2 linked regions of the Arabidopsis thaliana genome follow. The protein of the gene in region 1 purifies or fractionates together with the protein of each later gene. This does not show direct contact. Each region holds a gene or a part of one and is shown on either strand. Other genes may lie near its edges.

Region 1 (3,654 bases):
TTATAGATGGATGGCTCCAGAGATGATCAAGGAGAAGCCTTATACCAGAAAAGTCGATGTTTATAGCTTTGGCATCGTTCTATGGGAACTCACCACCGCGTTGCTTCCGTTCCAAGGCATGACTCCTGTGCAAGCCGCATTCGCAGTCGCTGAAAAGGTCAGTCTCCATTCATCTTATTTACCAGATTGTTGTTTTTCTTGGGATACAAGTTATTGATTTTTTTGGTTTCTTTGATGAGCAGAACGAAAGACCACCATTGCCGGCGAGCTGTCAACCAGCGCTAGCTCATCTAATCAAGAGGTGTTGGTCAGAGAATCCGTCGAAGCGGCCAGACTTCTCAAACATAGTGGCGGTGCTAGAGAAGTACGACGAGTGTGTCAAAGAAGGACTGCCTTTGACGTCACACGCAAGCCTAACGAAGACAAAGAAAGCTATTCTTGATCACCTTAAAGGCTGTGTCACATCCATTAGCTCACCATTTTCTTCCTCCTCTGTTCCTGTAAATGCCTAGTAGTAGATAAAAGTTATTTGAAGTACCTGTAACCTGGTCTCATTCCAAAGTTTACAATTCTTCTTTTTCTTTCACTAGTTATTTGATTGTATATTTGCATCTACGTGATGTTATGATTTGATATACACGAACTTAGGCTAACTAATTTGTATGATATATAATGATACTTATTGATCACTGGTCTCTCGTTTAAAAGGGAATGAGCTCAAAAAGAATACGTAAGTGTCTAATTATCTAAATGTGTCGAAAGTGGATAACTTGAACTCACAAGAAGTGACTTCTTAGTTATATTGACTCATTGTTTTTAACTTTTTTTTTCTCAAGGAATTAAAATCATAGGCTATTACAATGTAAAGGCAGACTTTTTCAGTTTATAATGATATTAACATTCATAACTAGAAAAAAAAATGATTTACATTGGAAAACGGAGACCATCTACATTTATAATAATATCATTATTTCTTTTCCAAATGTAATTCCATTTTAACTAATCTTAAATAAAAATTAAACAATAAATTTCGGTCGCCGACGTTTCAGTTTTCTAGGCTCGATTTTTTCTGAACATTGACGCATGGGGAAATATTCCCCATTATCAATTTTGGACACGTTTCCACCATGCTGTGGCCATTCCTTTCTTATATATTGTAGATTCTTCTAAGTCTTTGCACCCAAAACGTGTCATAATTCATAACTACAGATGACAGAAAAATCCATTGAAGAGGCTAGGTTGGCTTGTATTCGATCTACAGTATTGTTGCAAGATTGGATAACATTCAAAGCATTGGCTTTGGAAGGAATAAGCTGGTAATTTAATTCCTCTATCCGCTATTTTGTACAGAATATATATAGATATATACACTTCTGATCTCTCATATTGGCATCATTATGTTATTTAACTTCCAAACATCAAATCTTTAGATTTATCTTTGTGTTTTATACTTTTCTTGGGCAGTATAACGAACCAGATAGCCGAAGAGAAATATGGTCGTCTCATGACCCAACTTATCAGCTCTTGCAATACATCTGATATCTTAAAAGGTGCATGCTCTTACCATATAGTAATATATATAGATTAACTTTTATATAATTATCTGCCAGAATTAGTTCTATATATCATATTTGTTAAAATTACATTCGTTTATACTACATATATTAAAGCTCTACGTAAATTATTTTCTGTCGGGGTTTTAGCTATGGGGAAAAAAGTCTGAGCTAATTAACCATGTATTAAGTTTTTTTTTCTTGGTTTTTAGTTATTTTTTTTATATGAATAACACTCTGATTTGAACTGAAAAAAACCCAACGAACTTAAGAAGGTTTGGTTATGGCTTATGGGTTGCATCTTCTCTTTGCGTAATGAGTTATCTATCTTCAGTTTCGTGAATATGGCTAATTTGTGCCCTTTTCTTTCACTACAGCGTTTGACAACCCTTATTTTCGACAAAGCAGTCCTTGAGCCGACCTTTTGCCCTATGTACGCTCAATTGTGCTTTGATATCCGCCACAAAATGCCTAGGTTTCCACCTTCAGCGCCTAAGACTGATGAGATCTCATTCAAGAGGGTTTTGCTGAACACATGTCAAAAGGTGTTTGAGAGAACTGACGACTTAAGTGAGGAGATTAGAAAGATGAACGCGCCAGATCAGGAGGCCGAACGGGAAGACGAAGTAAGACTGTTGAACCTCCGGACTCTAGGAAATCTTCGTTTTTGTGGTGAGCTTTTTTTGAAGCGGATGTTGACAGAAAAGGTTGTTTTAGCCATTGGTCAGGTTAGGAAGATGACTGTTTAACTTTCTCTAGTTCCGGTCTGATGGGACTACATGCCTAACACTTGTGTTAGTGTGTTATAATTTAAATTTACTTTTACCATACAGAAGCTTTTGGAGGATGCTGAGCAAATGTGTCCATCAGAGGAAAAAATTATAGCTATTTGTCTCTTTCTCAACACTGTTGGCAAAAAGCTTGATTCATTGAACTCAAAACTGATGAACGAGATTTTAAGACGTTTAAAGAATCTGTCAAATCATCCTCAATTGGTTATGAGCTTAAGATTAATGGTTGGGAAGATCATCCATTTGCACTCCATTGGGGTCCCAGCGCGAAAGAGTTGTTCTAATACCCTTGAAAACATCATAAGCTTTCTGAGTTACGAGATTAAGACTTTGTTTTGTTGCTACTTACAATTTTTTTTTTTAATTCAATGTTAAATTATATTCAAAAAAAAATAAACGTTTATATATGTGAATGCAAAGTTTTCTTAGCATACAGATAAAGTCCGATCCTATAAACATGTGGGAGGACTCCAAGTGTGGTTATATCCTCGGTATTATCTCGATGTGAACCACACTTGGAGTCCTCCCACATGTTTTTCTACCTTCCCTTTCCTTAGAGTACTCAATCGGTTTCTCACATTTTTATCAATCAACTTGACAATTTTTCCGTTGTTGAGGGTCGCTCTCCGTGTCTTTATCATTTCTCTCCCTCCATATAGAATGTATCGCATTCTAAAACACAAACATAAGGATGAATCTCTTAGTGTTTCATGATCTTTGCTTTTTAGTTCCTTCATCACTTCTAGCCTTAATGATAGCCTTAAAGGCAAAAATTTTGTTTGAATCCATGGATGTCATCATATGAGAATGATAGAATTAATAAGATTTCTGGAAGATTCAATGCTAAGTTAAAAAACGAAAACCAAGCATCACTCACCAGTCACGAAGATGATGATTCGAGCACATAAATCTCGTTTTTTCTCGACAACTATGTTTACTCTCTTCTAAGCTCGTTGAAACAAAACTAGATGCTCGTCAACCGATGTCAGTGGGCCTTAAAGAACTAGACCCAAATTAAGAATTGAACCAGAACTTAACATGAGGTAACATGAAACAAAGACTAAACCGAGAACCAATACACTTTGGTTTCGGCTTTCAATTGCATACTCTATATTCTTATTTCCTTCATAGTGATCTTTCCACAATAAAGATTCTCTATTTCCTCATTGTTCATTTGTTCTTATACGTTTTATAGAATTTTTTACCGTGTTCGAATTTACCGATAACACTTGTTTTTATCAAACTTCCATAGAAGTGTGAATTGTAAAAAAAAAAAACATTGTGCTACGAAGTCTCTGATTAAATGAACA
Region 2 (4,509 bases), on another chromosome or scaffold:
TCCACCCTTTTTTGTTGTCAACCATGCTAAACAAACTGATTTGAATTGAGTCTCAAAAAAAAAAATAGAAGGTTTATCACTAAAAGTAACATAGTTTTATTATTATAGAGAAATACACTAAAATAGCATTAAGCTAAGTTTTTGTTCCAAAAAACCATAAATAGTTTTTTTTTCTTTCCAAAATGCCTCTACAAACGATTTAGTACAAAAATACCACAAAGTCTAAAAATGATTTCTAAAGATTTTAAACCTTCAAAACTAAATCCTAAACCCTAAAATTTAAACACAAAATATTAAATGCAGACCCAAAGTTTAAATTATAGGTGAATTTTAGTTTTGTGGGATTTTCAAAAAAAGTATCTTTTACTGGTACTGTTACGAAAAAAACTGATGGTGTTACTTTTGGAACAAAAAACTTATCTTAGTGGTATTTTTGAGAATTGTCTATTATTATATCTTATTATATAAAGTATGGTTTTCGATTTTAGATTTTGACACATGTAATCTTATTATCAATTTTATTAAATGAGTAAAAATATAAATATAAAAACCAAAGTAAAATATTAATATATCTTATATAAAACAATTTTAAAAAATTGAAAGAAGATAAATATTAGAAAATTATATGTATCTTATCAAACAAAGATAGAAAATATAAGATTACATATTATTTTAAAGAAATAAAAATGTAAAGAAGATAATTATATGTATCTTACTGAAAGAAATTATAAATCAATTACTAATTCTAATTTGAAATTACTAATTCTAAAAGAAAATTGATTACCGTCTTCCTAAAAATTTTAAAAAGGATTTAAGGAAACGATCTTATTATATTAAATATAATACATAAAGGAATTTTACAATTAATTATAATCTTAGAAGGAAAAAGATTTCAAATACTCACCTCTATATAATTAGTAGCCGGATTTTATGCGGTAACTGATACAGAATGTACAGTTTTTGCCACTTCTTCTCGTCTTAAGAGAGAACGACGGCGATCAAACAAACGTCGCCGAAGTTTAGGCGGCGAGTGAGAGTATATGAGTTTATCAAGCAGAGATTTGTAAGTTTTCTTGTTTTTGGGGGAAAAAGATTAGGAATTATAATAACTTTATTTTTTTAATTTATATTTGGAACTATAATATAAAAATCTTATTTACATTTTTAAAACTATTTTGTTTCTTTAATTTATCTTATTTTATATTAAAAATTTTAAAATTTATAATAAAATTACATGTACCAAAATCTAAGATCTACAAAAATAACACATGTAACAGTCATATGAATTACTAAATTTAAAAATCATGCTTTATATAATAAAATATCTTTTATTACTCTAGAACCTCTAATGTAAACAATATTTTCTAATTTGATACTACTAATTAAGATTTTGCATTGACAATATGAAAGAAATTCCGCTATTTGGAAATTAGATCTCATACCTTGGTGTATTTTTTTTTATTTTTTTTTTAACAACACCTTGTTGTAAAAAAAAATACTTTAAACCCTTGTCTATTGGGATTCCACTTGCAATTAATTTTGGAGATTTTTATTTTTACTTGTTTTTTAAATACCAAAAGACAATAGAAAAAGAAAAAAGAAGAAAAGAAGAGTTAAATGCTCTGATGGACCGGCCCAAAATTGACCCAATAGAGTCCAGAAATAGCCCTTTTCACTTCTTAAACCATTCCAAAATACATCTCAAAAACAATCTCTCTGTCCCTCTCTCGTAACCAAAAGCCGTCTCAGAAGAAAACTCAACTGCGAAGAATATGGCGACCGATGATGTGAACGAGCCTCTCCCGGCGGCGGCGGAATTACCGGCGACAGAGGCGGAGAAACAACCACACAAGCTCGAAAGAAAGTGGAGTTTCTGGTTCGATAACCAATCAAAGAAAGGCGCCGCCTGGGGAGCTTCTCTTCGTAAAGCCTATACTTTCGACACCGTCGAAGATTTTTGGGGGTTCGTCTTTCTCTCTTCTCCTTTGATTTCAATATTTGTCAATGCCTTGCTTTGTAACTTCTAAATCTGGGATTTGTATAGAAGCTATGGTTATTGTGAATCTCGATCTATGTGTATGGATCCGAAAATCTAAGGATGTTAATTTTTTGGTTATTGTTAGATTGCACGAGACTATATTTCAGACTAGCAAATTGACAGCGAATGCTGAAATTCACTTGTTCAAAGCTGGTGTTGAGCCAAAGTGGGAAGATCCAGAGTGTGCTAATGGAGGAAAGTGGACTTGGGTTGTTACTGCTAATAGGAAGGAAGCTTTAGACAAAGGCTGGCTTGAAACTGTATTACATTCTAACCCTAACCCTAACCTTTTACTCTTCTGTGTTTTGTTAGATGATATGTGGTTTTGGTGACTGGTTCTATTTCTTATGATATGTAGTTGATGGCTTTGATTGGAGAGCAATTTGATGAAGCAGATGAGATTTGTGGTGTGGTTGCTAGTGTCCGTCCACAGTCGAAGCAAGACAAGCTCTCCTTGTGGACTAGGACGAAGTCTAATGAAGCTGTTCTGGTATGATGTTTGTTTGTCTTCTCACTATGTTTATATTGATGCTGGTGTTGGCTATTCATGATTATGATTGTTGGTGGGATATCCAAATTTAGTTTGGTAAACTTTAGAAAATACTAACACTCGTTACGAGAATTCTTAATGCTACACAGAGAACTATATAGCTAGTGGGTTTTGATGCTTAACTTGCTTTGTTGCCTGTCCTTGAGAGTTTTACCAGCTTCTGATGATTGAGATACTTCTGCAATAGTAAAATTGTTGTTTTTAATGTTAAGGTTATATGTTGCGACTTATAAACATAATAGTAAATATAATAGTTCATTGGCATTATAAACATAACTATCTTTGTCAATGGACATCTGTTTTAAAACTTGGCAATATGTTAAGATTGGTTTATGAATCTATCTGATGAATTTATTACTTGGTGTTTGTTATTGTAATTCAGATGGGTATTGGGAAGAAGTGGAAGGAGATACTTGATGTCACCGACAAGATAACTTTCAATAACCATGTAATTACACTTCTCTAAAGAAGAAGCTATCATCTTTTTGTACATGTTTTAGATCTCATGTGGCTTAATATATCTTTGTCTATACGCAGGATGATTCCAGAAGAAGCCGGTTCACTGTCTGAAGAAACGAGTGTGAAGCCAGAGGAAGATGCAATATGGCTTTTTTTGTGATACTGTTTGGTCGGTTTACTCAAATAGCTGAGACATTTAGGGACATTCACTTTGAGGTGTAAACTCTACAAAGTTTTCTGTTTCATTAAAATGATTTTTTGTTATAAATTAAGTTGAGTTATATAAATCTCTTTCGAAACCACCACTTGTTAGACAAATACAGAGATAATATACTCTTATTAGCAACACCCTAATGCTTCTCTTTTGTATTTTGTTGGATCACATAGTGTTAGTACATGTCTATCGCATTTGTAATTATCACTATATGAATTTACAATCTTACAAGATCTTATTTCTTTGTAGGTAAATTTCAAGAATCTGGTAAAAAATTGATTTAGAGCAGGATTCCACGATTTTCCTTTGTATTAATTGTTTTTGTACTGTGATTTTGAACCTTTTTAATTAATACTGTTGCAGTTAAGCAGTAGTTTAGTCTTTTATTAGTTTTATCCTCTTTTTATATAGCCGTGAGATTATGATTTCTTCTTCAGGAAGAGTCTATACCATTTTGAGTTTATCTTAAAGTTGCTTGAACAAGGAGATATGGTCGATTACAAATTGTGGATCTTCCATCTCCGATTCACAGTTTTTGGGTCCTCTAAAATGGTTCAAAAAACCTTATAACAATTCGTTTTGATTATTTAAATATTCACTTACAAGTTGCTTAAATCTATTTTAGGTTTAGGATGGACTCATATTGAAATTATAAATACAAACAATGTGTCAATTGGCTACTGAACTTTTAAAGCTTAGAGATTTTGGATTAAGGAAAAAAATTTGATTAAGATTTTTAGTATATGTTTATAAATTAATACTCGATACTAAATACATTTCTTCAATTCCAAATCGGCTACCCGAACTGATTAATATATTGTATATTTTTTTAATTAATAAACTATCATAGTCTCATTGTTATTAATTATAAAAAGATATAGCCAAATCAGGAAAGAAACCAACATGTTTAGGATTGAACAAACACGAGTCTGAAATTGGGTTTACAGTTCATTTTGTTGTTAACAAAACTATGAGATTGCAATTTACATCAATGAAAAGTTCTTAAACAAGTTTTGGAAAAACAAATTTCAGATTCATATGGTTTAATTAATCATTTTTTTCTCCAAACTGGATATTAGTGTTTTGTCTTATGTTGGAGTCGTACGGTTCTATTATTGCATTGGTAGATATGTAGTCGTTGTTTAATCTGGTAATTTTAATCAACTTCTCCAAGTCTTCAGTTATGTTCGGAAGCAAGGTCCATCCTCAAAAGAAGGCAAATATTAAAAGGATATTAGGTATCCACCA

The links.
Region 2: the proteins of AT1G62410 (region 1) and LSP1 fractionate together in Arabidopsis thaliana (co-fractionation; one large-scale study listed by BioGRID). This does not show direct contact.

Annotation. Positions count from the first base shown.
Region 1 is NC_003070.9:23,091,018-23,094,671, forward strand, and holds AT1G62410 (MIF4G domain-containing protein), read left to right. Parts: upstream 1-1,897; coding exon 1,898-2,281; intron 2,282-2,386; coding exon 2,387-2,602; intron 2,603-2,780; coding exon 2,781-2,852; downstream 2,853-3,654. Other genes in the region: HT1 (Protein kinase superfamily protein), read left to right, coding at 1-157, 243-512.
Region 2 is NC_003076.8:13,823,595-13,828,103, reverse strand, and holds LSP1 (Eukaryotic initiation factor 4E protein), read left to right. Parts: upstream 1-1,700; 5' UTR 1,701-1,772; coding exon 1,773-1,963; intron 1,964-2,123; coding exon 2,124-2,298; intron 2,299-2,396; coding exon 2,397-2,528; coding exon of another isoform or gene 2,529-2,534; exon of another isoform or gene 2,535-2,970; coding exon 2,971-3,036; intron 3,037-3,125; coding exon 3,126-3,158; 3' UTR 3,159-3,263; exon of another isoform or gene 3,264-3,483; intron 3,484-3,510; 3' UTR 3,511-3,680; downstream 3,681-4,509. UniProt on the Arabidopsis thaliana protein: Recognizes and binds the 7-methylguanosine-containing mRNA cap during an early step in the initiation of protein synthesis and facilitates ribosome binding by inducing the unwinding of the mRNAs secondary structures.